Linked DNA regions of Arabidopsis thaliana. The protein of the gene in region 3 interacts with the protein of the main gene of each other region in a biochemical or structural test. Each region holds a gene or a part of one and is shown on either strand. Other genes may lie near its edges. The genes, in order: FBA6, AT5G37890 and GAPC1.

Region 1 (10,412 bases), on a different chromosome or scaffold from region 3:
AGGTTGGGGCAGGCAAAGAGGAAACTGAGTTTGGGAAGTTGAGCTCAGCTTGACTGCCTTTGAGGGCTAGAGCTGCCACGTCATAGGCTATTGCCGCCATCTCGGGGGTAGAGAATGTTCCTAACCAGATACGGTTAGGTTTTCTCGGCTCACGGATCTCAGAAACCCATTTGTTTGAGTTCTTTCGCTGCCTTACTCCCCTGTACAAAGGGTGGCGGCCGCCATTGTCTTTGGAGGTTCCTTGCATATTGATAATGAGTATTAGGGTTTTGAGTAGAGAAGAGTGATGAGTTTGAGGAAGGAGAGGAAGAGATCGAAGCCATTTTATGGTGCAGTTAAGTTAGTTGGAGAGTGAAGTACGTAGTGAAGAGTGAAGAGAAGAGAGTGAAGAAAGTGCAAACCAGTTAGAAAATGGTTTGGGAGGAATTGATCACAGCTTAGAGATGATGAAGCTAAAGCTGTAAAGACAGCTTTTTAATTGCTCCTCTTGTTGGATATCGCGTTTTTTTGGGTGGTGGCCAATTAAGTTGCAAATGATGTATATATGTTTCTATCTAAAGTGGTCGTTTTCGCCATCACAGGTTCATGAAAATACATGTGTTCTCATGATCTTGACACCACTTTATTGAAAACACTTCAATAAAAATTAAAATTATCTACTTCATTTGTGTGATTTACAATATTTTTGGTATAATTTTGTGTTATTTACATATTGTGAAACTGTATTTCAATGTTGCTATATATACACTCCATGTCCAGGGGTATAAACCACAACTTCTCCAATGTCATAATAAGACTATAATGTATATATGTATTTCCTATATATTGCTTACTTTGGGGTTAATGGTTATTTCAGAATAGAAATGAATATAGAGTTGACTTGGTGAAGGGTCGGATATTTATAGAATAATCACATCGAAAAGTGTCTTAGAAATGCTAAGAAGAAGTTAGTGTGTGATTGCTGTTTCGTTTGGGTCAATTTCTTTGAGGCTTTATCATCCCCACTAGACATTAATATAATGTAATAGATTTTCTAGATTATTCTCATTCAAACTTGTCAAATCGATTAGGGTAAGAAATCCATTTCATGTCTCGATATACCGTGGAATCTTTGTTCCCACCATAGATGTATGTGTGTGAAAAAAGAAATTCACCTAATTAAATCAAATTTTCTCTATCACCTACGTCTGCTGGTGCGTGCCGGTTGGCACTTGATCTACTAGGCTGTCGGATATCTATGTAAAAATCAAGCATAAACATTGTAAACTAATTAATTAAACTTGATTAACAGAAAATAAATCAGAACAAGTACTAGATTCATATGCTAACTAATGTATTGGCTACAAATACCACTTAATTTGAATCTATAACTAACCCACGGTGTAGTAAATACTTGGTTTCATTATAGTTTCCCAAAGTCTAAGTGAAAGTTGTGGTGTCTATACTATTTGTTCTCAAAGTCTCCAAGTATGGTGTCTATATGTTCTCAAAGTCTCTCAATTCTCAGATATTTTGTTGTTGTAACTAACGAAAAATCAAAACTAATTATTCTATTGACTACGTAGAGAATGATTCTAATAAATATATATATATATATATATATATATATTTTAATAATGGTAAGCTAGCTTTAATGCTTGCCTAACAAAAGCTTTTTGTGTATATAAAATACATTGTCTAGTAAAAATTTTGCTTTTGATCTTACTTCTTATGCCATAAATTAATTACTAGGTAGAATGTTAACTATATTATTAAAGCAGTCGGTAAATCCTTTCAACGTAGAAATAGTGGTGATATCAAAGGATTCCAAAAAGTTTGCAAGTAGATCACTGATACAAAAGAAAAAAAGAATATGTACATATTTCGTTTTGATTGAATAAATACAACATTCAAAAGAAAAGAGTTTTCTAATGCTAAAAAATATGGATGTTGAAATGTGTAAGCATGGTTGGTAGCCTCACTGGCCTGTTCTTCTGTTGTGCCAGGAGGCCTTTTAGAGATTGTATGTTACCTTTGGGTTTCAAAGTTGGGAGTCCAAAATATTTCGATGATCTTTTCTATTTTCTTGAGTTTGGTAGACATTATGAACTATACAACCGCCCAAATGTCGTCACTATTGATAATGTTAAATTATAACCCAACAAGCTAATATTCATTTTTAAAAAGGCTTCATAAGAACACAAAGACCTCATAAAAAAGTATAAACGGGGTTCTTTGGTGCCACCACTCTTCTAAACAAAACACCAAACAAAAAACAGAGAAAGTGAAAGCAAGAACATAAACGATGATATAAAAACTACGATCCTCAGCCTCTTTCTTCAGTACTTGTAATCCTTAACGTGAAGGCTCTCAGCTGCACCTTCACCGAGCTTAGCATCACCCTTGTAAGCACCAAGTGTTGCTTCAGAGTTAGCTTTGCATCTGACCAAGAACGCTTCTTGAGCCTTCTTCACATTCTCCTCTTTTCCTCCCCAAGTCTTCAAAGTGCTCTGCTGCAACGCCCTTCCAAAGGAGAAAGACAACGACCAAGGCTTCTTTGTCTTCAACTGGTTCATCGCGTTAAGGTTTCTTGTCGCCTCTTCCTCGCTCTGTCCACCAGACAAGAACACTATGGCTGGAACAGCAGCTGGAACTGTCCTCTGAAGAGCACGGACAGTGTGCTCAGCAATCACCTCTGGTGCAACCTTCGCACTCTCTGATCCTGGAGTAACCATGTTAGGTTTCAAGAGTGTTCCTTCTAGCAAGACATGGTGATCACTCAGAGCCTTGTAGCAAGCTGCAAGAACACGCTCTGTCACCGCGGCACACTTCTGAATGTCATGAGAGCCATCAACAAGAATCTCAGGCTCCACAATCGGCACAAGACCGTTCTCCTGACAAATGACAGCATACCTAGCCAATCCATAAGCGTTCTCATGGATAGCTAACTGAGATGGCTCATTAACACCAATCTTAAGAACCGCACGCCACTTGGCGAAACGAGCACCAGCCTCGTAGTATTTCTTGCAACGGTCACCAAGACCATCAAGACCTTGAGTAGTAGTCTCACCATTGGTTCCAGCAAGCTCAACGGTACCCTTATCAACCTTAATACCAGGCAAAACTCCTGCACTCTTCAACATATCAACAAAAGGCGTACCTGCATCACAACCAAAATCAACCCCAATCAAAGTCAACGATGATACACAGATTCAGACATATAGCGATGTTAAACTGTCAATTACCATCAGAGCTCTTCTGGTAAAGAGTTTCTTCAAAGAGGATAACACCACTGAGGCAAGGAAGAGCTCCAGGAGTAGTGAAGAGAAGCTCACGAAGAGCACGTCTGTTGGATTCAACGTTCTCAACGTTGATGCTAGCGAGACGTTTCCCAATAGTACCAGTTGATTCATCTGCCGCAAGGATACCTTTTCCAGGTGTTCCGATGTAAGCAGCGTTAGCAATCAGCTCATCTGCAAGAGCAAAACCCAAAAATTAGACTCGTATAGTCAGATCACTTAAACAACTAGTCCAAAGCCTTTATATAAACCTCAAAAACGTTAAACCGTAAGACCTAAAAACCAAATCGAAGACAGCTAAAATCATTCTGATGTGCGTGATCGGATAATCTATCAATTTTTAGTGCAGAAGACGAGATCGCATCAAAGTAGCACCGTATCAACGAAGAATCCAAACTTGTGACACAAATTAATATCGATTGTGCAGAAAATTGATAAACAGAGTACTGAGAAAGAGAGATGAAGTGTTACCGGCGAATTTGGAGGTGAAGGAAGACATGGTTGAAGAAGAATCGATTTGGTGAAGAAAGTTGGATAAAGAAAGGATGATGATGATGATGATGATGAAGATGATGGTGAATTTTGAGTTATATAGGAGAGAGTGATGGTAGCTTCCAGAAGATATTTTGGACTCTTCTCCAAGGTAAGCTTTTTCAGCCGTTGGATTGTTTATACTTTCTATGGGCCGTTTTTACTACTTCCGTGATTACTGGTTTGTAACTCTAATATTATAGTAACTTCTACCACGTTCTATTTAAGGTGTGACTTCGGCCTCACTACGGCCCATTGTAGCCCAATAATATTCCTCAGGTAAAATGATTCAATTTTTGTTTCCCTTGAAAAAAATTGTGTTTACAAAATGAGAAGTGAAGACTTTGAGATCTTGGAACCAAAAATTTAGAATTGATATTTATGTGAGACTGTGAGTAGTCTAATTCGGACAATGAATCATCAAATTCATTGTATCAATTCTTTTCAAGTATTTTTCAGAATTTCAACTTCTAGTGTTTTTATTTATTCATGAATTCTTTCTTGTTTATTTTCTATCCTGCCTTTTGAATTTTATCCCCTAGCTGCACTTTTTATTTTGTTTGTTTGTTTGAATTTTCAATTTTGTTGCAATGTCCTTTCCATTTCTTTTTTTGGAAATATCGAAAATGCTCCTATCATCATCATTGTCATAAACAAAAGTTAATAACTTTAGAAGATATTATTAGGCTATTAAATTAGGTACATTTATTTTAGAAGATAACAAAAATTATGTACATTTTATCTTATGCATAGTTTGCCATCCACGGTTTTGAATATAAATTTTAGTTTTGATGAACACAATTTGAATATCTCTTGCATTCTCACGAACATTTGGCAGAGAAAAAACACAAAAACATTTGATCTAATCAACCTATCAGATATACCTAAATGCAACACAAAATATTCTTAAAATTAAAATTTCAGACAACGAAGAGTTATGTTAAAATGTTTATTTGTTTATTTGGTCACTTTTTAGAGGCACAAATGATAAGTGAAAACGAATGTTTCTCATCTCTAGAACCAATATTCTTCTTCATCTCACTCTCTTGTTCATCTTCATCAATCCATAATCTACTATCCAAACCACTCCTCCTCCTAAACATAAACACAGCACACGGAGGAGTAGACGATGAAGTTGAAGAAGACGATGACGACGACGCCGTTTTAGACGATGAACTAGTCGAAACAGACGACAACGTTTCTTTGTAGAACCAGTCGTGTAAATCCCACATCATGTCTATAAGCATTCCATCGAAAAACATGGTTTGATTCCCTCTAAAGTTCCACTTAAGCTTCTTCACCGAAAACACTTTCCTCTTATCAACATAAACCGACATCGTTTCAGGACTTTTCACTTTCCATAAATACCCTTCCTCTCCTCCTCCTCCTCCTCCTCCGCCGCATTGAATCTGTATCTCGTGTTTCCTTCCGACGTCGGAGAATTGAGCTTTCGTCGTGAGCCAACAAGTTCCAGAGAATCTCTCCGTTTTTGAGACTCGCCACGACGACGATGATGACGTGTCTCGCTCGTGGTCAACGTCGCCGACTCCGAGGGTAATCTCGGAATTTACAACGACGACGACGAAGAATCTTCTTATTGGTTCAGGTCCGTTGTTTTCGTACTCTGCTTCCGATAGATCCCAGAGGATCTCGGCGTTGAGTGAACCGGAGGAAGAAGTCAACTTTCTTGATCCTTTAGGTTTTCTGAGTGAAACAGAGTATGATTTCGGCGGCGTTGAGATGACGACGGTGAGATTATCCGACCAGGTGAGTGAAACAGAGACGGGTTTGTCGGAAGATGGGAGATTGGATCTATAAGTGGTGGTTACTGTGTCGGGGATTGAAGGAGGTAATGTCGGAGATATATAGGAATGATTCGATGGACCTGAACAATATGTATCTGATACTTTAATGGCGTGTTCACTGTAACAAGCCGCGAGACCTCTCATGGTTTTCTAACAGAAAGGGTTTGTTTTTTTCTCGGGAAGGTTAGAAAGGAAGAAACTTTACAGAGGAAAAGGTTATAGATTTTTGGTTTTGGATGCTATACGTGTGAATAAAGAGAGATACTTGAAGTTGAAGGAAGGAAGAACATTTTTTGTGGTCTTTGGAGGGAGAGAAAGTTTTGTGTGGAAAAGGAGCAAAATGAAGTTTAGAGATTCTGTCTTGGGAGATTAGGAACGACGTGGAAGAACATAAGACATGACAGAGAGATTTTTTACCGGGAAACTAAAAGATAAAGAAACTTGGTGGAGAAATAATATTAGTTAGGGCTTTATGTATTTTTTGGTACGGAAGTTGCAGAGAAGAAATGGAAGAAAGTGATGAATTCTTCTTTGTCCTTGGCGTTTGGATATGTGTTTCATTCGGCCATGTGAAGATGTCTCTCTTCTCTTCTGACTTTTTGAGTTTCGTCTGGTCTATTATATGGATTGGTGTTTTTTTTTATTGTTACTCTTGTTGAAAATGTAAAATTTAAATACGAATCCATCATTAAATGTAAGTTAGATGTGGAAAAGATGAGCTAACGACAAGAGATTTGCAGAAATGAAATTTAGATATTTTGTACCATGTTCCTTGCATTATCAACATTTATGAATTTTAAACTCTTCTCTTCCCCTTGATATCTTTCTTTTGCTGATACAATGCTTGATAGTCAATTTTGTTTAATGTGAAACTATCTAGAAATGATGTGTTTTTAAAATTCATTTTATAATTGAATCATATTTATCGATCGGCCAAAAATATTACTTAGACAGTTAGACCACTTTACTTATGTATCAACAATTTAGTTTTCGATAACATGTCAAGGTTTATGAGTTTCGAACTCAAAGTCTCAAACATCAACTGCAAGTGGAAAATTCTCATAAGGTCGTTAAAGAACTGTCTTTATAAAAAACCCAAGGAACGGACATTAGATAGCTCTTTCAATTGTCCAAAAAAAGAAAAAAAGATGGCTCTTTCGTTATGTATTTAAATGAATTGCCACTGCTTCTACGATTAAAATCATTAATTAGTATTACTATAACATAATTCATGGAAACAAGATTAAATATATATTGTTGCAAACAAACAAATGAACTTAAATAATACGTTGACCTGATTTATACAGCTTAGGTTGTAATAAGATGTGTGTGTTTGGTATTTTCTTATAGTCGTTAATTAAAGGAAAATACAAGATAGTATTCCAAATGACGTCTTCGAAAGTAAGAAAAAGTATGCAGTCGTGCAAAATAGAACACGAGATGTGAATAGACTTGACCCTTAACTGATATATTCTAGACATCTTTAATTTCACGTAAAATCTTAGGTTCTAAACATAATTAAAGAGAAACTAAGATTAGAAACTGAAAAGAAAAAAAAGAGTCCATCACGAGGAAAAAATAAAGAAGACAAGAAACGAAACATGATAAATGAACAAAAAGGAACAAATCACATCTTGGACTTGTATTTCTCTGAGTGTTATAAAATTTGAGAAATGGCATCATGAGTCATCAAGACGGACGAATTGAAAACAAATCGAGTCTATTTTTAAAAACAAACACAATTGGATAAGCTCATTAAAGCTTACAAGTCAATCATCTTACCTACAACAACATCAAAACAATGATAATTAAATCTCCTTTTCCACAATTTATAGTTATTCAAAAACAGGGTTGATGTGGCTATTTAGTTAAAACACATGTTTGGAAGACTTGTCTCATTCATGCTCGGAAAGTTTCAGTCGATCGTGCTATTGGATATATCATATATGTGCCCTACTTAGCATTAATATTTTCATTAGATAAATAATTGTAAATGAACAAGGGTTTACATTTGTTAATCTGCTACATGCCGCCAATGTATAAAATACCATTTTCGGATGTTGTCCTTTATTTGGCCAAATATTGACCATTTCCATTGGTAACAAACTTTGTATCCACAATGACGTTCTCAAAAGTTTGCAATTGAAAGTAATGACTAGTTGCTTATTCAAGAAAGTTTGCTTATGCTGATACCACATTAATTTTGATGAGCTTCTTGTTCACGTGAAAATTGAGTTTTCCTAAAAGCAAGGAACAGCGAAGAAATAGAGACCGTCCTCTGCTTTTTTTCTAGCCTACTCTCTCCCACCTACACATTCATTACAAGACTCACTAATTAACTCTCACACCTTTTGCATTTTTCTCCCTCCAATAAATGTTAATTTTGCTCTTTCCCCAATCTGCAAGCAAGTCAAGGGTTCATATAATAAAAAGCAACTCCCATTCTACGAGGATTCACATGATAACCACAACCACCCTCAAATAAGAGATATGACAACATAAATCTTTCAAACAGAAATAGTAATTGCTAAGTTCTATATATGGTCTCATGGCTTTGCGTTGGATGTTCAAGAGACGTTAACGTGACAAATCTGTGTTTCACTTTCATAAGAAACCCGCATATTCTTTTGTGACACACGAAAGAAAGGCATAGAATATGGAAATGTCCGATATTGGGAAGGCCTCTTTGCTCTTTTTGTATTTGTATATGATGAAAAAGGAGAGACAAATAAGAAAAAATAAAATTAAAAATGCTGCACATCTTTTTTCCTTAACTCAAAAGCTCGACACTTTTCTACAAAACTAGCATCATGAGGAACTCAGAGGAATCACGAACCTGTTTCCTCTGTGATGCCACTTCTTCCTCCACCATAGGTCTTTATATGGAGGCTACTCAACAATTTCCTAGCAAAATAGGAACCGAACGAGAAACAAACACGTAAAGGTGGATTCATGCAGGATTAAAGAACAAAGTTTGAGATCAGAGAGCCCTAGAATGACCAAAAGTCGCAAATTGACTAGAGCTACAAGTTACCTGCTTGATTGCAATTCCAACTTCCAAGCTCTGCAATGAACTCGTGGTCAGACAACCTGTATGGACGATAGGACCACTGGCCTCACTGTTGGCTGGAGGATTGGTCAGGTAAGAAGCTCCCTTGAACATCCATTGAGCCATTTCTTGACTGAAATAATCCTCAAATACTTCTCCACATAATATACATGCGCATTGGGTCTCATCAGCAGCTACGGCTTGACAATCCTCAATAGCACTCTCAGGTTCACTCAGAACTTCTTCATATTCAGGTTCTAACTCTCCCGCTTTTGCTGCTATCCAGTTATCAACCTTTGGAAACCAAACCCTACATTTACTGTTTGTGCCACTTAACTCGAGCTTCTTCTTATCATGCAGCTCCATGTGCCTATCAAGTTCTTCCTTTTGTTTAAGGCGAACGCTGCAGGAGGTGCAGAGATGGGGAAGGTCATCGAATAGACTACTAATGACCGAAGGGTGAAGTTCACGGATTTTGTCCGCCCTAAACTTCAATCCTATGAGGTCCTTGGGTTCAGATTTTGATGTTTCAGATGGTGCAGCTAACCCTTTTACCTTAGGGGCAGTAGATGGCCCCTTCACCAAAACAGATGGCTGAGCATCTGCTGGAACCACAGATACAGACATAGAGCTATTGGTGGAATGATCAGGACTGTGTTCCTGCGTTATGGAAGGAGCCGATGGCAGCTCTGTCTTCGAAGCAGATATCAAGCCCTTCGAAACTAAAGAGCTTAAGAGGCATGAAAGAGGATCTGAGGCCTTACTTTTCTCTTTTGACGTTTGTACTGAGGTGATGCCAGTAAGAGACGCTGCACATGAGACAAGTGGTGCGGAGGATTGTTCAACTTTTAAACGAGCTAATAAATTGTCAGTAGCCAATGAAATTGGCAAAGTCTTAGGCTTAGAGGCTGCTGGCAGGGTTAGTGCCCCCGGGTTGACCTCATCATGACTTTCCTCCTTGATCGCACCACATGTTGAATTATTAGAAAGGATTCCACTCTTCATGACAGCTTCTAGCAAATCACTCATGTTGGGTTGTCCTGTAGCTTCTGAGGCAAGAGTAAGGCCTGGGGCATTTTCAGCTGCTGACTTAGAGTCAAAGATTTCCACTGGTAGTTCACGCATATTTGTGTTTTTAAACTGACTACTTGAAGATGGGAGCCGTACAGAGTCATCCCTGGGAACATTTTGTTTTGCTGGAAACCGGGAAGCCCTAGGATCACGTTGGGGGAGTGAGTGAGCTCTTCTAACATCTTGCTTGGTCACATTCTGTTTAGAAGTTGAATCATGTAAAGGCGATTGTCTATCTGACCCAGATCCTGAGCTTGGCAAAATTCCAGAGCTTGCAACCCTTGGTTGAGGCTGAATTCCCTTTCTAGTTGCAGTCGAGGTTGCATTGGTAGAAGAAAACGCCCAGTGCCCAATACTACTTGGATCTTTTTGCTCGCTGGAATATGAATTTGTTGAATTCGCTGGGTCAAACCTTGGGTCGAGAGCTGAAAACCTTGGTCGTTTTAAGAGGTGGTTTTCAGATTCCTACAAGATGGGAGATGGTTAAAAGCTAACAAATTAAAATGAGATACATCACAATAAAAAGGAATGCAAATTACTATCATAGCTTACCAGTCTCTCTGATTCATCTGGTGCATGAAGCTCGTTCTTTGGGTTGATAGTGGCTACATCAGTTTCGGATAACCTTGAGTGCATATCCCACATAAACTCTTCTTCCTCAGAGTTTTTCCAACTATC
Region 2 (10,412 bases), on a different chromosome or scaffold from region 3:
TTTTTACTAACCTATATTATATATATACTAGATATTAACCCGCGGTACCACGGGTGGATATGTTCATTAAAAAATTATAGATAATTTTTTTAAAAATTATTAATTGTATATAAATAATATATTCTTAACACATAATTTTTATTTATGTAAAGCTTCGATAATTCATTTTTATGTTCTCATATTTGTTAGTTAATTATGAAAATTCAATATTTATTTTTATGGTTTGGGTTTTTTAGAGGTAATAAAGATTTAAAACTTGTATTATTATTATTATTATTTTTTAACTTGTATTATTTAGAGATTGACCCGCGGTACATCCAGGGTTGAAATATTTCTTAGAAAATTAGATATTTTATTTTTATTAATATTGTTTATATATATAACATATTCAAGAGGTACATCAAACGTCTATATTTTTATTAAATTAAAAATATTATTATTGTTTTTAGGATGATCTATAGATACATGCTATTGTCTTTTATGTATGATAGTATGATACACCTCTGTATGATTTTTATAACTATTTTTTTTTAGTGTTTAAAATTGTATAATTGTATCATTCCGTATTAATATCGATCCAAACCTATCCCACCATATAACCTCGTCCCGTGAAATTAAACATCATTTTATCATTTTTTTATGAAGTTCGAATAATTATAATATTAGAAACTTCAAAAAAGTTTTAATATGGACCAAACTTCATAATTGTATATTGATTGTTACATATAGGATTTCACCCGTAATATATCGTTCAATATTAATATATTTTTAGTATTTATAATATTTTAACTTCTTATAAAGTTCAAATATTTACAAAATTTACAACTTCATAAAATTTTAAAATTTTTAAATCATTAATATTAAATTTATTTTATAGTTATTAACTTTTAAATTTTCTTAAGAAATTGTAATACTTAACTTTTAATAAATTTTAAATATATATAATATTTTAAAACTTTAAAACTTTTACTTATTTAAAATAAAGAACCGGAGTAAACCGAACAATACTTTTAATTTTGGATGTTTGATATATCAAGGTTCCTTCTCATTCGTATTCAGAATCACTTAAATATTTTTTATAGTATGACTCTTAACGATGTCCCAAATTTTTAAGCAATGTGGGACCTTTAAAACTTTTTTTTTTATCGATGGAGTATTATATGTCTGTTTTAAAAAATTTGAATTTTATCGGATGCAAAAAAATCTAATATTTTATTAAATATATGTATTTTATATATAAACTAAAATAGCTATATATAAAAACAAAGATAATGACAGAAAAATTATATATTTATATTTAATGTTGATATATAGATTTTAGGAAATTAGCCTTAATCGAATATAGTTCAATAAAAAAAAATTTAGTTAAGGATAAAAAATTAGGAAGAGTTGATTCAACTAATTAATGCAATTCAACTAATTGTAAGTTTTTAGTTATAAAGTATTTGATTGAGATTAAATTTGTAAGGACTAATATTGAAAATAGTAAATAGGTGAGGGATTTTTGGTCAAAAACCTTAGCAAAAATATATACATGTAAATATTTTAAGATTATTGTTTAGACCTAAGCAAGTTTTGTGTGAGAGATATACTTTTGGAGAGAAGAATCATATCACTAGCAGAAAAAGAAAAATATTTAACTTAATCTGCGTTGTAGACTTGTCGTATTTTCCTTGTTTAATTTTAAAGTAATAACAAATACTATCATGTATTGTATTGTACACTATTATTTTACAGTTGTCCAACGTGAAGTCACGATATGTTCTTGTTCCTAGATGGGATTCGAAGTCTTGCTTCTTCAAACTTCCAATCGTTAGAAACAAGATCCGGAAAATCCGAAGTCTTGATAATTGAACAGCTCTCCGAAATCAATAATGAACGACTTTCTTTAACAAAAAAACAAAAAGAAAAAAAAAATAATGAACGACTTTTTTATAACAAAGAATATAAAAAAGCTTTCAACTAAAACAAAAGAAAGCTTAGTTGTATTCACAAGTTTTTATATTAAATGGCTGGCTAATATATATATGCAAGGGGAGAAGGAGAAGAAGAATATCACAAAAATCGATCCAAATCTCCATATTAGCAGCCATGAGTTCAATGGGTGTATTTTGTAAGGAGGAAATTGGTGGAAAACCGAATTTGGTATACACATTAACACAAACAGACAACCCAACCTCTTCTGGTGAGGCCCTAACCATGGATTCTGGTGAGGACGATCTCCCTCTTCAACCTCTTTTTTTCTGTCCTATGGGATATAATTATATGTCCATGTATACTTTCTTAATTATATCATCCTCCATATATATATATATTTAACTAACCTTTTTTATAATTCATGATATATACTTGATCTTGCTAAATTATACACACTTTTCAAGAACTACAACTCCAAAACTGAACATATTTTGTAGAACTTCGCTAGAATCCTCAAATCCTCAAAACAAAACTAGTTTTTGTAACTTTTAGAATCTAGTAAAAGGGCAAGTTTCCAACTTCGTTGTTCCTAATACAGAGTTTATAACAAGAAACACCAAAACCTGGAAGAATTTTAGTTATCAAGAAATAAGAATCAGAAAGATGGAAAAATCTTCTTGGAAGACAGGAATCGTCAATGCTTCATAGCAAATGGCCTATGCATAAATTATATCTTAGTTTAGATTGAAAACATTGTGAAACGTTTTGTTGGTCGATTGCACCAAGTCTCTAAAATTACAACCCTCATCAACCATAACGACTATGGGCGGGTTAAGATAACTAAAACGAGACAGATAAGAGTTTTCTAACAGGAAGACCCCAACCTTCTTACTCTTTGTTCAACTTCTTGACGCTAATCCTCATTTCCAACACATCACCACGCAATAAACTGTTGGGAATCAACATGAAATTCTCTTGCGGGGTTTGAAAACTCAACTTAAGAACCCTCTTCACCTCTGGTGATTGGTAAATCACAGTGTGTCCATCGACAGTGTAAGAGAGAGCATATGAGTACTGACTTAATTCTGGAGAAGATGGCGCAATGCAGCTTACAGTTACATACACACCATACGGCTCCCTGAAACACTGCACTGCAAACAAATGATTCGTCAAGTGTTCCGTTCTAATCAATATCTTTTTGCTGATGTTCATCCGGACACTTAAGGGAATGTCACAAATGAACGTATTAATCTGGTTTATTTCCATATGGGTAATACGATAGTGAGTGTACAGATCCTTGTATGAGCTAGTGTAATTGCAATCCAATGCAGGGCAGGCGCAATGAGAGAACATGCATTCCTTTTCATGAGTTAACTCTTTCCCATAAGATACATTCTTTTTGCAACCTAACTTGGCGTTCGGACACGGGATCAAGATCGATTCAAGAACACTCTCCATTGCTCTGCAGCGATTGTGGCCAACAGGCGAAGTACACGCAGGGCATTTGTTATTTAGTTTGGGACAGCAAGAAGAACAAGCCAAATGTCCATTATCACACTGAAATTCAAAACCAATAACTTGTGATCAAAAGCTATAACAACGTCGAGATAATATTCATCGAATCGACCAAGGATAATAGTTCTCTCCCCAAATGATTCTCCCATATAATTCATGATATAGACAAGTTATACACATATTTTCAATAACTATATACAACTGCATACATGAACATAACTTACTAAAGTTCACTAGAATTCTATAAAATCATCACAAGCTAAAGCTTAAGGACACTCTTGAAATCTAGTAACTAGTAAATGGGCACAATTCCAACTTCTTCTCTCTGCAATTTCTTTAACATAACTTTCAAAAGTTCACTAGAATCCTCAAAAGCTAAGGCTACTCTTAGAATCAAGTAAATGGCCACAGTTCCAACTATGTTCAGAGTTCTAACCAAAACAGAAACTTTCTGAAAAATACGAAATGATTCAATTTGAGAAATTACGAAACCTGGAAGATGGGAATTGTGAAAGCTTCGTAGCAAATGGGACAATCGAGAATCTCCAGATCCATTAGCATTGTCGAGCGTTTCTTAGCGTCTCTCTTAGCTGCATCACTAGAAGAAAGTTGTCTCTTTTGCGAGAGAATGCTGTTAGATCCAATTCCTTCGCCGGGAGATTCCAAAATCGCGGCACCAACCATGTCGGAGAGATGACTAAACCCTAAATTCGCTTTTAGTCTTCTCGAAAACTGAGAGAGGCAAATAGAGAATTTAGTTGATTTTGTTCATTGATGGATGGTTTTACAGAGAAAGGAGACAATGGCACAAACTATAGATGATATGGGCTTCGATAGTTCTTCAATTCCCAATTAAGGCCCATATAATATATAAACAATACCTTTTTTTGATAAACTTATAAACAATATCTAATTTTTAAGTCTATTAATATTTACAATATAAAAGAATATAATTATATATATAAAACCATTTAAAAATTAATATTAGTCTTAAAGTTTATGTATTTTTTAATTCTTCAATTCCCAATTAAGGCCCATATAATATATAACAGAAACAATGTCTAAATTTTACAAAATACAATAATAATTATTTATTTAGTCTTAATAGTTTATGTATTTTTTGCTACATTAATTAATAAGCTAATTTTTATTTTTAAAAGTTATGTAGCTTTTATTTATTTTTTTGTCAAAAATGTGGTTTTGAAGTTGGGATTTGGGGCAATCACAAACCACTAGACTAATTTTACCTTGGAAGATTGATAAAAATAGCAAAAAAAAACAATTTCTTCAAAAATAGCAGCTCATTTGAATAGTTCCAAAATTACACTCAAAACTTTAATTAATTATTAAATATTTAATATAAATAACTAATTTAATTAAATAAATAAAATTAAATATTTCTCGCCAAAGATTTTTGTCAAAATTTTCTCACAAAAAAAAATCCGTCAAATGTTTCCCATAAAAAAAATTTAGGAAAGATTATTATACGAAATTTGGGAAGGATTTCACGGAATTCATAAAAGATTTCACAAAAAAATCTTTCCTAAAACTCTTCCTGAATTTTGTAGAATCTTTCTTAAATTCAGGAAATGATTCTTTGAAAGATTCCACGACATAGATGTCACTCCATTCAGTATCAGAGTCCTGACCTCTTTTCTTCAGGTAATTTCTAAATTTAATATATCATAGTGTTGACCTCTATTCCTCAAGTAATTTTCAAATTAAATGTTTAAAAATTCTTTTGATTTTTGGTGGTAGACTGCTAAGATTAAAGAGTCCGATATCTACATGATGAAGATAATGGAGTGCTATACAATGTAAGCTAGTAATTCAAACCTTGAGGAAAATATTATTGGAAACGCAAGGAAAAAATCGGCGGTTGATTCACAGAATTAACAGATATATAGGTTAGTATATGCTTAAACCAATATAATTTCAATAACCATATCGTTTGCAGAATTAACAATTTATGAGTTATATAGTTCATTTTTTTTGAATAGGGTCAATTACTATGCAGAAGTAGCAGATTGCTAATAAAAAAAAAGTTTGTGTTAGCATATTCATAGAGCATTCACCCAAATGATGAATTTGTGTACTTTTTGAATTTTTTTAATTGTTAATTTTAATAATTAAAAATAAAATAATTATTTGAATGCTATTTTGTCCAAAAAATGTTTGAGTGCTATTTTTTTCCAAAAACTTGAAATGGTGCTATTTATGGAAATTTCTATTTTAACTTTTGCTATTATTTTTTCTGCTAAAGATTTAAGAATTTTGGTATTAGCTTTTATATTCTTAACTAATATGTAAAATTGCAGTTAAAACTACCATATTGGAATTCTTTAATCATTGAATCACAATTCACAACTAAATTTTTTCTTCTGCTTTTAGACATCACACGTTCGTACGTTTACTTATAATTAGATTTCGACTAAGAGTAGAATAAAAGATGGAGACCATAATCATGACAAACGAAAGAGCACGCATTACTCCAATTTGGTCATGCATAAAGTATAGCTTAGAAGTTATTAGATTAAAAAACTGTGAAATGTTTTGTTGGTCGATTCCATCAAAATTTCCATTATCACTCTAAATGCACAAAAACGTGTTAAGCAATACCAAACAAATTGCATCAAAGCTGAATCAAGCCGTTAAGCAATTACATCGGATCTTAGTTCGTCAAAACTTATATAAATGTCAGACGAGATAGAGAGAGTAAAAAAATGACATTCCTTCCTTCTAGTTCTATATCACCTCAACATTCTTACTCTTGGTTCGACGTTTCGACGATAGAAAGCTTAATATCCAACAATTCACTACGCAATAAATTGTGAGGTATCAACATGAAATTCTCTTGAGGTGTTTCAAAACTCACTTTACGAACCCTCTTCATTTGTGGTGATCTGTAAACCATAGTGTGTTCATCCACAGTGTAGGAGATTTGATATGAGAACTGTCCAACTTCTGGAGCAGATGGTGCAATGCAGCTTACGGTTACATACACACCACACGACTCCCTAAAACACTGCACTGCAAACAATATTTTCTTCTCATATACCCTTGTAATTTGTATCTTATCGCTGATAAGCATCGGGGCCTTATATGGAATGCTAGATCTAAAGCAGTTAGTGGTCCAGTATGAGTTCGAGATGTGAGTCAGTTTATAGTGATCATAGAGATCCTCGTATCGGCCGGAGTACTCACAGTCCAATGAAGGGCATGAGCATAGAGAGAAAATGCATTCTTCTTCATGAGTTGATTTTTTCCCATATAAGAAACTCTCGGTGCAACCAAACATGTCGTTTGGGCATGTGACCAATATCGATTCAAGAATATTCTCCATTGGCTGATAAAGAAAGCACAAGCAGGGCATTTGTTCCTCAGTTTGGGACAGCAAGAAGAGCATGCTAAATGTCCATTCTCACACTGACATACAAAAAAAAAAACACTGTAAAAATTTCAAGAAAAAAAATATGTATTAAAAGCTGGAAAAAAACAATTTTTAGACAAGAAACAAAACCTGGAAGATAGGACACGTCAATCCTTCACAGCAAATAGGACAATCGAGGATATCAAGATCTAGCAATGTCGCCGAGCGTTGTCTCTTAGCCACTCTCTCCCCTCCATGACCTTGAGATATCAAAGCTTCTAAGGCTCCCACCATGTCACCTAGATATCAATAGTAAAAATATTATCATATTTTCATTAATCAAACAATTTTAAAACATCCTCGACTGATGAAGGCAGAAGAGTTTGTTCGAAACTTTTATAAGACTTCCGTACCAAAAAAAGTAAAAAAAAAAAAGAGTGTTTAAACGCCAACTTTTTAAATCTCAAAACACAAGTCTGATATCTCTTAAACAACGATGGATAGATCTATTTGTAGAAGACAACTTTTAATACATCTCTTAGGAGTGGTAAACACAAATCCAAACTAACTAAGGAAAAGGAAACTAACCAGAAAAAGGAAATCTTGTTAAATACCTTAGAGCTTGAAAACCAAAAACGCAAGGGAAAGCTAGAAGAACACGTGTATGTTCGGTTTTATTTTAATTAGGGTTTTGTGTAAGGGTTGAAGAAGTATTTGACACAAGTTCATATCGTAATTAACGCAACTGATATATGTGTAGTCAATCAATCAGACATTCACATGTGTTAAATATATTTTAGGTTTTTTACTTATGAAGAGGAAAATTATAAAAACAATTAAACGACTAACATCATTATCATCATGATACGTGTGATGATCAATTTGATTGTAACATGTGTCAAATATTTTAATATTTTACTGTATTATCTTATATGGCATATTAATTGGTTTTTAAATTTTCGCATGTTTCCAAATATTTAATTTACGTTTCTCATAAGTCAAAACCATGGAATAATTTTGATCAAGGAAGCATGGAATGAAGCAAACATCATTCAAGTTTCACCGCAAGAGCTTAAAATTTCTACTTGATGAATATTACTAAGACAGGAGAAGAAACTACACACCACAATACTTCGGTGAGGACTCTTCTAGCCATTGAGATGATGACTCTTCTAGCCATTGATTTCGGTATTTTTGAGCTTGGATCGGTTTTCATACTCAGCTTGTATTCTGCTCCAACCTTAAGGTATTTATGGGTCGCACAATTAAGTCGCCACATTTTTAAACGAACAGTCTTGTCATAGTATGTTTACATCAGCATATAAACAAAGAAGAGTGATGACAATTTATGGACTAAAGCTTGACATATATCAAAAGTTGTGTTAAAACAATTAATACCTAGCATGTACTGTATAATAATACATTTGAAAAGATGGAACGGTTGAAACACTGTGAAATGTTTGGTTGGTCGATTTCATCACATTAAGTGCAAAACCAAACGAGTTATAATCAAAGTTGTAATCTAGTTAAACTGAAACCTAATTAAATCAAGCCGTTAAGCAATCAAATCGGGTCTTACTTCATCGGGGCAAAGCTTATATGTTAAATAAAACAGACGAGACAAAAAGAGTTTCCATGTACATAGGAATATGAAAACAATAATAGAATGACCTTCCTAGTTCTATATATCACCTCAACTTCTTACTCTTGGTCCACATTTTCGATGATAAAAACCTGCATCTCCAACAAGTCACCACGCAATAAACTGTGAGGTATCAACATGAAATTCTCTTGAGGGGTTTCAATACTCACTTTACAAACCCTCTTCACCTCCGGAGATTCATAAGTCACAGTGTGTCCATCCACATTGTAGGAGAGTTGATATGAGAACTCTCCTACTTCTGGAGCAGATGGTGCAATGAAGCTTACAGTCACATACACACCACACGGTTCCCTAAAACACTGCACTGCAAGCAATAGTTTCTTCTCATGTACCCTTTTAATTAGTATCTTATCGCTGATGAGCATGGAGGTCGTAAAGAAATTGGCACATCTAAAGCGCTTAATATTCCAGAAAATATTCGTGGAGTGAGTCAGTTTATAGTGAGCGTAGAGATCCTTGTATGAGCCAGTGTAATCGCAGACCGATGAAGGGCATGAGCATTGAGAGAAGATGCATTCTTTTTCATGAGCTGACTCTTTCCCATAAAAGAAACTCTTGGTACAACCAAACCTGACGTTTGGGCATGGGATCAAAATAGATTCAAGAACACTCTCCATTGCTCTGCTGCGACTGTGACCAACAGGCAAAGTACATGCAGGGCACTTATTACTCAGTTTGGGACAGCAAGAACCGCAAGCCAAATGCCCATTATCACACTGAAAAAACAAAATACAAATTGTGGTTAAAAAGCTGTAACTACACCTTCAAAATTCGAGAAAAAATATAGATATTAAAAACTGGACAATTGAATTTTCAGATAACAGTATTCATTGGCATCTTAGAATGGTTCAGTTTTTTAGCAATTCCTAAGCAATTCTTTTAAAATTTCACATTCAACCTCACGAAGTTGTACAAACGTATATTTTTCTTTTTGACTATAATTTGACATTATTCAAAAAAAAAAAAAAGTGAATTTTCATATAAGACACAAAACCTGGAAGATAGGACTCGTCAATGCTTCACAGCAAATAGGACAATCGAGGATATCAAGATCTAGCAGTACTATCGCCGAGCGTTGTCTCTTAGCCACTCTCTCCCCTCCATCACCTTGAGATATCAAAGCTTCCGAAATTGAAGCTAGCACCATGTCGCGTAGAAATCAATAGGAGAAATTTGTCCTCGGCTGATGAAGGGGGAAGGGTTTAGAGGGTTTGTTCAAAACTTTGATACAAACAAAGGTGAGAATTCTCTTCTCGTGTCTGAACACCAGTTTATTTAATCTCAAAAAAAAAGTATGATAATTAACTCTTAAACAAGAATGATGGAGAGATCTCTGTTTATAGAAGACGAATTTTAGAAAACACCTCTTAGAGTCTTAGGAATTGGAAATAAAATGTCAAAAATCCCAAACAGGAAAAAGGGAACAAACTAGAAAAAGGAAAAACAATCAAACAGAAGGGAAAGCTAGACTTGAAGAACACACATGTATGTTCTGTTTTTTAATTAGGGTTTTGTGAACCTTTGTTTATTAAATATCTTGTATTGTAAAGGTTGAAGAGGTGTTAAAATCATAAATTAACGCGACTGACACGTGTAATCAATCAAACAGACATCGACATGTATAAAAATATTTTAATTTTCTTTTGACATTATTTTGTATACGTCTTCCGATTAAACTACATAATTCCTTATGAAATTTGAAAGTATGTCTTATGTATGATTAGAGAGATTTGAGGTGCAAGTTTCTGTTTGTTATATATATAAGGGAGACATAAACTTATGAGAAGTTGGGTTTTGATAGAATAAAAATCCCTAAGAGATTTGATGTGAGAGATTATGGGTGATCATATGTGACGTAGCTTCGCAAATTTGGTGTTTGTGTGATCAAACTTATTTGTGTATTGGTGTTTACCATTCGTGTTGGAGAGTTTTGGTGATTGTTGGTTT
Region 3 (10,412 bases):
TTAAAATGTTTAAGAAGTGTGTAAGCAATAATTGAATGATGCTTCATCAAATTAGACGCATCCCTGGTTTGGTTGGAAACAGACGTGGATGTATTATTATTGATACTAGTAGTTTTGTTATTTCGTGCATAATAAATCGACATGTAAATTGCTCTGCCTCTAAATTAATACATAAATTTCGAACAATGTAGACCAAAGAAAAAGTGCCCACTTGTGGCAGCTAACATTTGAGGGCCCTTAATAATAATATCTAATCAATAATTCGTAGTTAAAGCTTAACCATCTTATGAAGTTGAAGAAGACTACTCAAATTTATTTTCTATTAATAATTTCAAAAATATCCCAAAAAATATATTTTGTTTTGTTTGGGGTAATATGGATCTACCTTTCTGTCGGTGTGAACTGTGAAGTGTGGACGCATCCAAATGCACATGTATTTGTCCATAAACTCAATGCTCATTACAAAAAAAAATATGCTCTTGGATCCCACACTTGTGTAAACTCTCCCATAAATTAGTCTTGATGTGAATAAGCCTGCCATAACTCTAGATCTTGAGATGTCTCGAGACCTTTGCAAAGATCGAGTCAAAACAGAAAACAAACAAAACTTGCCTAACCTCTTATCATCAAGAATGTGTCAGATCAATCAACTCCAGAGTTCCAATCTTAACAACTTTTCATGAATACGAAGTCCAAGTTTCTTGTCCATATCCATTGACCAACGAACTTGAAATCTACACTACAATGTGGTTGAATAAACAACACAATGAACATCTTTATGCATGATCTGGTCTTGTCTTCTTTCGCAAGCATGAAGAGACCACTTCTCATCCCAATCTGCGAAGTAACAGTCAAGTCGTCATAATAACTAATAAACCTCACTTTACAGGTGCAGTAAGTTTCACAGTCTTCATAATGTGTTCGATTCTCTCAGCTGATTCATGCATATTCTTCTTCTTGACCTCTTCCAAGAGCAGCAAACAAGTGCGGTGCCTCGGCGTGATATCTTGGCTAATCATCTCTTCGAATAGACAATACGCCCACTCACACATATTAGCTCTGCATAACCTCTGTATCAGAAAAGTATAAGTCGACTCATCGAGGCTGAGATGATGTTTAGTCACCATCTCTTTCAATAGTTTCCCAACCTCAACAACATCTCCTCTCTTAAAACAAGATCTCAGCAGGGGTTGATACGTATGAACATCGGGATTACAAAGGTTTGAACTTTCCATTTCCTTGAGAAGCTCAATCGCCTTATCTTCCTCATCGTGATGACAATACATAGCAATCATAGAGTTATAGGTAGATGTATTAATGGAAACACCAAGCTCTGGCATCTCGACTCTGAAAACCCGCTCAGCTTCTTCTAACCGACCAGCTCGAGCAAGCGTGTGAATCAAACAGTTGTAGAAAAGAGAATCGGGTTTACAGCCGGATCTTTTCATCCTTGTAGCAACCCGTAAAGCCTCCTCAAACTCTTTCTGTGCATTAAGAGAAGACATAATAGTTGTGTAAGTAATAGAATTCGGAGGAGACCCATTAGCTTCCATCTCACTTAGCATTTCATAGACCTTAATAAACTCAAACTGCTGGCAATAACACCTTATAATCGTCGTATAGCTAATAACACAAGGACGAAAACCATGACCTTTCATCTCTTGGATCGTCCAAAGAGCTTCCTCAACTCTATTTGCCTTACACCAACCATGAATGAAGATATTAAACGTATGAGCATTTGGTGTAATATGTGACTTCAGCTGTAGCAAAACTACTCGGGCCTGCTCCACTCTTTTCTCCTTGCAAAGCGTATCGAGCAGTAAGTTCATCGACTCCGTGTTCTTCTCCAATCCAAATTCACCCAACCTATCAAATATTCCCACAGCTTCTTCCCACTCCCCTGCACCAGCAAATCTCCTCATGATCTTAGCAACTGTATTCAAAGTAACAAGTTTATCTCCTCTCATTCTCTCCACAAACTCCTTCATCCGATCCCATTTCTTCGCCTTGCCGAGAATATCCACAGCCATATCATAAGCATCACTCGAATGTTTATGCCCTTTACAAGACTCAGCCCATTTCAAAATACCAAGCGCAGATCTCCAGTCATCTCTAAACCTATGAAGCAGCTTATGAACCAAACCATCAGAAAGATTGACTCTTTTACAGATTTCATCGCTAGATAGACGTTTAAAAACATCATCTTCACTATCTCTATCACCGTCTCTACCTACAATAACATTCCATATCTCCTCAGACTGTGAATATTCATCAAGTGTCTCAGGTAATTGCTCCGAAGCAGTAGAGAGATTCTTGATAAACGTAGAGAAAATAGCGATAGAAGACGAAGAAGGATTAAGGCGTAACAAGGTGTTTCCAATGCGATTTTGAATAAGCCAAGACATTAAATCTAAAACCCAGAACAGGGTTCTTCAACTGCAACCATAGGAAAATCAAATTTTTATCATCATCAATGAAATTTGAATCTTACTAGTGACATATGACGAAAATAAGTTAGACATGAAACTCAAAGATCGTACCTGAAAGATGGAGCAAAGGGAAATTGTGAAAATGACGACGGCCTCTTGCCGGAGAAATTTGAGGAGGACTAATCGCAAGAGAAGGGTTTACGGCCCAAAGTTGGGCTCTCTGGTTTTGGAAGCGTTTTACACCGTCTGGTTTGAAAAACCGGTTAGGCTTTGTGTTTGACCAACTGGGCTTTGGCATTGGGCCTTCTTGTGTCGTATATCAACGACCTCCCCATTTTTTCGATGCGGATGTGTACAAATAATTGAAGTGCCACTATACGTGAATTTGTGTAACATGGTTTAATAATTTGTTCAAAGTACCTTTACAGATGAACACATATTTCGTTGTCTTTATAAACCGCACATCTGTTAATGAATTTCTTATGTTTTGAGAAGAATCAATAACAAAAGGCAACATGAAATACTTTTCATTCAAACATCAGTCTACAAACTCGCATAAATGAGAATCGCAAACATAAAATATAGGTTCCACTTAGAAACTTTTATTCGAAAACTAGAAGAAGCTAGATTAATAAGTGTACACCTCTAGTTCCTTAGATTTGCTACGTCATCATCAACGGGAGCTCATTTAGTTTCATTTTTCGTTCAGATTTGATTTAGTATATAGTTAAAAAGAGAAGTGGAACAAAATTGAAAACCATAACGTTAACTCAATATATCAAAAGCCAAAAACAAAGGGCTTCCAGTAAAACATCGGTCTACAAACTCCCATCACCTCACATGAATGAGAATTAAGAAAACCAAAAAAAAAAAAAGTTCCAAGTTCAAAGAAATTTTATTCGAAAACGACAAATTCAGACCATAAAAGGGGATGAACAGATGACTTTCCACTCCCTATCATTCGAGATCTGCTTCTTAGCTTAGGCCTTTGACATGTGGACGATCAAGTCGACCACACGGGAACTGTAACCCCATTCGTTGTCGTACCATGACACCAATTTCACAAACTTGTCGCTCAATGCAATTCCAGCCTTGGCGTCAAAAATGCTCGACCTGTTGTCGCCAACGAAGTCAGTTGAGACAACATCATCCTCGGTGTATCCAAGGATTCCCTTGAGTTTGCCTTCGGATTCCTCCCTATGTATTGGTGGTAAAAACACTTGGTGAGTAATTTGATCACTACTGGAATATAAGTAAACTTAATCTGTCATTGCTCAAAAGCTTACTTGATAGCCTTTTTGATTTCATCGTAGGTAGCAGCTTTCTCGAGTCTGACAGTAAGGTCAACAACTGAGACATCAACGGTTGGGACACGGAAAGACATTCCAGTCAACTTTCCGTTAAGAGCTGGAAGCACCTTTCCGACAGCCTTGGCAGCTCCAGTGCTGCTGGGAATAATGTTGAATGAAGCAGCTCTTCCACCTCTCCAGTCCTTCATTGAAGGCCCATCAACAGTCTTCTGAGTAGCTGAAATCATAAAGCAAACCCCATTAAATCACAAATTTTCCACCTATAGGCAAGCAAGTTTGTAATAAACTTCTAACTGATTGATAAATTTACCAGTGATTGAGTGGACTGTAGTCATAAGACCCTCAACAATTCCAAATCTGTCATTGATAACCTACACAATGAAATCAAAGAACGTTAAATGAAATTAGTCACTTCAACTTGAAATACAAAGTCAAATTTGATCATATAGAATATCAGATATTTTACCTTGGCAAGGGGAGCAAGGCAGTTAGTGGTGCAGCTAGCGTTGGAGACAATGTCAAGGTCGGACTTGTATTCGTGCTCGTTGACACCAACAACAAACATTGGAGCGTCTTTGCTGGGGGCAGAGATAACAACCTTCTTGGCACCACCCTGAAAATACAACAAGTCACAAATTTAGTTGAATGATACTAAGCAAATTCTAGCACATAAACTATTTATATCATTACAAGACAAAAATAACCAATTCAAATAAGACAAACCTTCAAGTGAGCTGCAGCCTTGTCTTTGTCAGTGAAGACACCAGTAGACTCAACAACGTAGTCAGCTCCAGCCTCGGCCCATGGGATATCCTCAGGGTTCCTTCACAAATACCAAAAACTAATGAGATTGAAATTCACAACAGTTTGTAATATGTATACACGCAAAGAGACAGAGAACTGGTTGATAAATGTACCTGATGCCGAAAACAGTGACTGGCTTCTCACCGAAGAGAAGGGTCTTCTCATCCTTGATCTTGAGTTCATTGTGTTTCCATTGACCGTGAACACTGTCGTACTTGAACATGTAGGTCTGCAGCAATCAAACACAGAGCGCAATCAAAATCAACTCAACCATATCAACTCTAATCACAAACAGGCTAATCAATAACATTACAAACACAGCAAAACAAACAACAGCTCCACAAGTATACTGATCAGCTAAACAGTATGAACAATGAACACTAAACCAGTTTCCAGATCTGTGCACTAATTGAACAAATCATCTGACACTTAAATCCACATGCATAATCCATAAATGATATGATCCATCTATCAAATCTAACGAAAGCAAAGGTACCAGAGCGACTAACAGAATCTTATCGTCAAGAGATCAAAATAATATTGAAGCAAACCAAGATCGAATCACCGTCAAAACCAAGGAAGGAACACTAACCATGTACTCAGTAGTGATGAAGGGGTCGTTGACAGCGACGAGCTCAACATCGTCCCTCTGGAGAACAACTCTAGCAACCAAACGACCAATTCTTCCGAATCCTAACGATAACAGAAATCAACAGTCAGATTCTAGATCTAGATACATGAGAACATACAAACCCGAATTACAAAATCGATTCGAAACTCACCGTTGATTCCGATCCTAATCTTCTTGTCAGCTACATAAAACAACAAACAAAATCAGAAAAACGATCAGATCAGAAAACTCAACAACGTAAAATAGCAGCGACGGGACGAGAGATTAGTAAAAGCGAGAGACTAACCCATTGTAGAATCGAAAACGAGAGTTAGAGAGAGGTTGAAGATGAGATTGGCAGAGAGAGATTTTAGAGTGAGATAGGTGAGTGAGAAGGGTTCCGTGAAGAGGTTATTTAAAAGAGAGAAGAACGTGGAGGAGGGGTCGGAATGATCTAGTGGCTGAGAGTTTTTCTTGGCCAAAAAGTCAGATCTGATTCAATACTTTTCTTAACCTAAAAGACCAAATTGCCCTTAATCATTTTCCTTATTTACCGTTGTAGCTCTGTTATTTTGGCAAATGTCGTCATTCCTGAGGCGAGACATGGCAACTGCATCTCACGCGCTAATCTGGAATATTCTTTAAATATTTAAGACGGGTCGGGTAAGCATGAAACGCAGCGTATTTGGATATGCTTTTATGCGCCGACCAGTGTTTGACTGCCACGAGTTCACGAGCGGCCCATTTTAGTAGACGGGTTCCATTTTCTAGAACGTAACGCCCAAATAAAATTATATTTTAGAAAAGTATATATTTCAAGTTTTCAACTCTTTAGGAGACTTTCTTTAAAAGAAGATATTTGATAGGCGTATATGGACAAGAATTTGAAAATTTTGATTTGATAAGCAATATTCAAAAAAGCAAAAGTCCCTATCAAAAACTCGATTAGTTGATGTATTTAATTCAAAAAATACTTCGTGATGGGTGAATCACTTTAGTATTTACGTGAATTAAATTATTACATGTGAATTTAAACGGGAAAAAAAAACAAGTATTACATGTGAAATTTGTTTCGAAGTGTACTTTGTTGTTACTTATGAGTCCTGTCCCGTCAATTGCTATAGTAGAGCTTATGAACGATGGATCACTTTTTACTTATAGAAGCTTTGAAGTTTGGTGCATAGTCGTGATACCTCTTGACGCGTATGAAAGAGATGTAGGGCTAGTACGAGAACATGAGCAGCTCCCGCAATGATGAACAAACCGCGCAACTCACGGAAGGTGAATCGCTTAGATGCCTCATCATCGTCGTTGGTAGATGCAACTTCCTCGGTGTTGGAATGTACATTTAGTGAATCCAGTTTTTGAAACCATTTTTTCTCCATGTCTTTCAACATTCCCAATGATCTTAGCTTCGCGATTTCTCGCGATACTTTAGGAACCAAATCCGAACCTTTCTGGAACATCTGAGAGGTAAACATAAATTAGTACGTAACAAGAATAAGTAACCAAATAATGGAGAGAAAATGAGAGGTTTGAGGAGAAGGGTACATACAAAGCCAAAGCCATTGGTATTAGTCACTCTATCTGTCATTACGAAATCATTCGGATAATTTCCGATAAGGATACTGAGATAAGGTATTTCATTGATGACATGATTAAGAGTTCCATCTCGCAAAAGTTGTGCATAGGCCTCAACTGCATTAATGGATCCGAGCTTCGCAGTCATTGACGTCGTAGATCCCCCGAAAACCATCTGATGATTTAATTGCATGCGAGAAATGGTCTTGGTTGATGTCAAGTTTGCGCTGTAACTTGAAGTCAATATTAACACCACAAAAACCCAAACTATGACTAAGAATCTTGATGACATTTTCTGTAGCTTCTCTCCTGCCAAGAATGTGCGTAATTTGTTATAGATCAAAATATACAAAAGGATGGGATTTCATGAAGAGTAGTACTCTAACATAAACACTTACTGTGAGCAAATACAATGGTTGAGAAACCAAACCAGAGCATCATACTAAGTTGTTGTCCCCAAGAGCCCTGAAATTCCGGATTAACGGACCGTTCAACTAACCAAACAACAATCCCAGTTAAGACAAAGAAAGCTCCACTTGCTAGCCACAAGGATTTTTCGAAAGGATCAAAGAAGGTCCACATCCCTTGGCTTTTCTTTTTCACTGTCAAGATTCCAATACCAATGTCAGTGTACGGCAAAGTAAAATCAACATACAAAGATCTGTTGGAAGTGATGGTGATATCACCAACTGCTGCATCATACTTGTCTCTCTGTCAAAATTGCAAACACACATTATTAGAAACATACATAATCATTTTTGACTAGAAAAATGTTTTTAAACTGTTTGCATTTTCACACCTGAGTAGAAAGTAGATAAGCAAGATTGTCATTGTTTCCACGGTAAGGTATGAATTCAAGCTCGTAGTTAAAAGGAGCAATGCAAGTCTTGAAAACCTCTACGCAGAATCCAGAGACAGTATTAACACCTGTTTCAGGATCAGGACGCACCGACACTAGATGCGGGACCTTGTTTCCTGCGGTAACTAAGACCCTAAGCACCTTCTTTTCACCTTTCTCTGCCAAAACACGGTGTCTTGGGATCTTACGAGACCTGCCAGGCCAAACAATCTGTCTTCTTTGGCTAAAACTACCACCACTCCATAATCCTATCCTTCTCTGTTTTTCTCTTCCAATATTCACGATTTCAAATGTCTCTGAGATAAATTTGTTGTCAGAGATTTGGATGTCACCACTCAAACCCTTGAATCTACTATGTCTAATTGTATCCAGAAGATCAGCTGATACATTCGAAGATGCTTCAACTTTACCACTTACACTGAACTTCTCTACTGCATTTGCTAGAATACAAGCGATATCGTGTGCGCGTAAACCGATGATTACACTAGAATGCTCTGTTTCTGTATCATCTCCCATACGTTTCCTCAATCTTGAAGTAAAATTCTTAACTTCTTCAGATACAGGGATGTAAGATTTGAAACCAATGACCCCTTGCATCGACCTAGTTATTGCAAAATGTTCCAAGTAGTTCATGGTTCTTGCAGTGAGGATCCAAGCGAACGCTTCTTCCATCAAACCTAACTTCTCTACACATTGGAAGAGACGAGAAACAAGAATCTCGGACATATGCACCACAAAAACCGATGCTCTTGAGACCTTAAGCTTCCTTAGCTGATTCATCATATGATTTTCTCCTGATGATGAGACTGCAAAAGAAGCAGAACGAGCGATATAGATTCCTTTATCTTGAAAATTCTCAACCAATATTTGCAAACTCTCACTCCAATCATCAGCATCCTCGTATATAACCACAACCGATTTACAACTGAAATCTTGTATGAGACTTGTAATTCCCTTAGCCTCTGATGTAGTATCATGCGTCCATTGAATAAAGTTATCGTATTTCTTCAAAGATAACGTGTTTGGCAAGAAAGTAGATATGACCGGAACTTTAGCTTTTTCGCTAATCGTCGCCAAAAGCTTTGCCTCTTGTAATGATTGTGCACCAACAATGGCTTCCGCTTTTGCATTTTTGAGAAGATCAGTAGCTGTTTCATACAAACACAAATTGCAGTGCAAAACGGTTAGTGCAAGACATGAGAATGTTAACCGGAGTAAACCGGCGGGACTAGGTCAATTCTTTTTTATTTGATTCAGTCTGCTTTAAATGAAGAGGAGTTGTGGATCCCACCAAAAATTGCAATAATTGAATAAGGGAGATGAAAACTCACCGGCGGCAAGAGCAATGATCGGGTCTCCTTGGGAGTCTCTGACCAAAACAGAGACTCTGGTTCGGTATCCATTGTTGATGCCATAGAAATCTGAAAGCGCTAAGTTAAAAGAAGTTTCCAGAATCTTGCCTTGTATAGAACTCAAGTCAACCACCAATCCAACCCTAACCTCTTCGAAAACATCATCGTCGCTTGGAGCAGCTACTACTCCGGAAAAGAGAAGAGCAAGAATGGAAATAGAAAACAGAATCTCCATATAATTTCTTGTATAGCTCTGTAACGTTCGCTTTGGGTTATAAACAATGGTGTTTCCATATCTACTTGTGCCATGGAATAATAATTATACTGGACCATTTTTTTTTTCCGGTCAAATTGCATTTTGATTTTCTGAAGTGTATGGTCACAATCATTTTAAATCAAACTAACGCGATATCGCACACAATCAAAGTCAATGTGTACTGTTCATCGACACAAATTGACTAGGAAACACATTTATTTCCTTCTAAAGTATAGTTGAGCCTTAAAAAAAGTTTTATTTAATTTATGTTTTCAACAGTTACTTTTAAAACTGATTTCAAAATCCAGGTTAAATACAATGTAAAATACATATGCAGGGGAAACCATAATACTAGATATATTAGCTTATTTCGCAAAGTCAATTCGTAGAAGTAAATATTCGAGTTCAAGTGATAGGACAACCAAGTGATATATAATAAAATCTACCACAACCCGAGAAGCTAAAAAAAATCACAAGCTGGTTAGTTCAACTCGTCGAGGAAAAATCAAATCAAGAGATTAAAACTCTAGTCTAGGATGATCCCACAGTCATCTCCTTCTACAATCATTAAATTATTACTCTATCGAAACCACACGCTCGCGAATACTTATAGAGTACATGTGGAATGAGATAACGTTACCAGGGAGATTAGGAGACTTGGCTTATAGAATACTTATGGAATACATCTCCCTCGCGACTTACCTGCGCAATGAAAACTTTTTCTCGTCTTGTTCAATAGTTGTACTTCGCACAAAGGATAATACGATCATAAAAAGACTCATAATACGATCTTCGATATACCCGCGCAACGATGGATCACATAAACGGTCGCATGGTTGGAAAATTTAGGGCTCATCTCTGATTGTTTTATTTTCTTCACAAAGGGGCAAAAATATATATATACACTGTATATATATATGGGGTTTTTTTTATGGTCAAATGTTATTGCCCTTCGAATAAGAGACCTTTGATTCGTAAGAAGAGATTATTATTTTATAAGAGAAGGTTATGACCGAAAGGTTTCTGAAGAAAATGAAAAATTACTTTTAAAAGGAATTTTATCTTTAAAAGGAAACAAAAGGAATGGTTAAGTTTTACATGATTGGACGCAAAAATGGAAAATTCTTTTGATTACTTCAAAAAAGGAAACCCTCATTTCTTATTAATAATACATCAAATAAAAAACTAACATGATTTTTCGCAAAATATCC

Evidence for each region.
Region 1: the proteins of GAPC1 (region 3) and FBA6 interact in far-western blotting, tested with the Arabidopsis thaliana proteins (one study listed by BioGRID).
Region 2: the proteins of GAPC1 (region 3) and AT5G37890 form a complex in vitro, tested with the Arabidopsis thaliana proteins (one study listed by BioGRID).

The regions. Positions count from the first base shown.
Region 1 is NC_003071.7:15,294,611-15,305,022, forward strand, and holds FBA6 (Aldolase superfamily protein), read right to left. Parts: upstream 4,145-10,412; 5' UTR 3,778-4,144; coding exon 3,750-3,777; exon of another isoform or gene 3,530-3,749; intron 3,453-3,529; coding exon 3,225-3,452; exon of another isoform or gene 3,140-3,224; coding exon 2,319-3,139; 3' UTR 2,003-2,318; downstream 1-2,002. Other genes in the region: HRD (Integrase-type DNA-binding superfamily protein), read right to left, coding at 1-247; AT2G36470 (DUF868 family protein, putative (DUF868)), read right to left, coding at 4,775-5,758; AT2G36480 (pre-mRNA cleavage complex 2 Pcf11-like protein), read right to left, coding at 8,504-8,518, 8,649-10,199, 10,287-10,412. UniProt on the Arabidopsis thaliana protein: Fructose-bisphosphate aldolase that plays a key role in glycolysis and gluconeogenesis. Associates with GAPC1 to the outer mitochondrial membrane, in a redox-dependent manner, leading to binding and bundling of actin.
Region 2 is NC_003076.8:15,087,707-15,098,118, forward strand, and holds AT5G37890 (Protein with RING/U-box and TRAF-like domain), read right to left. Parts: upstream 4,250-10,412; 5' UTR 4,117-4,249; coding exon 3,925-4,116; intron 3,475-3,924; coding exon 2,806-3,474; 3' UTR 1,972-2,805; downstream 1-1,971. Other genes in the region: AT5G37900 (TRAF-like superfamily protein), read right to left, coding at 6,197-6,778, 6,953-7,096; AT5G37910 (Protein with RING/U-box and TRAF-like domain), read right to left, coding at 8,504-9,181, 9,460-9,612. UniProt on the Arabidopsis thaliana protein: E3 ubiquitin-protein ligase that mediates ubiquitination and subsequent proteasomal degradation of target proteins.
Region 3 is NC_003074.8:1,076,129-1,086,540, reverse strand, and holds GAPC1 (glyceraldehyde-3-phosphate dehydrogenase C subunit 1), read right to left. Parts: upstream 5,600-10,412; 5' UTR 5,465-5,599; coding exon 5,461-5,464; intron 5,356-5,460; coding exon 5,326-5,355; intron 5,237-5,325; coding exon 5,136-5,236; intron 4,773-5,135; coding exon 4,657-4,772; intron 4,563-4,656; coding exon 4,463-4,562; intron 4,353-4,462; coding exon 4,206-4,352; intron 4,111-4,205; coding exon 4,050-4,110; intron 3,957-4,049; coding exon 3,716-3,956; intron 3,627-3,715; coding exon 3,410-3,626; 3' UTR 2,851-3,409; downstream 1-2,850. Other genes in the region: AT3G04130 (Tetratricopeptide repeat (TPR)-like superfamily protein), read right to left, coding at 879-2,405; GLR1.1 (glutamate receptor 1.1), read right to left, coding at 6,305-6,619, 6,709-7,043, 7,133-7,445, 7,534-8,741, 8,925-9,180.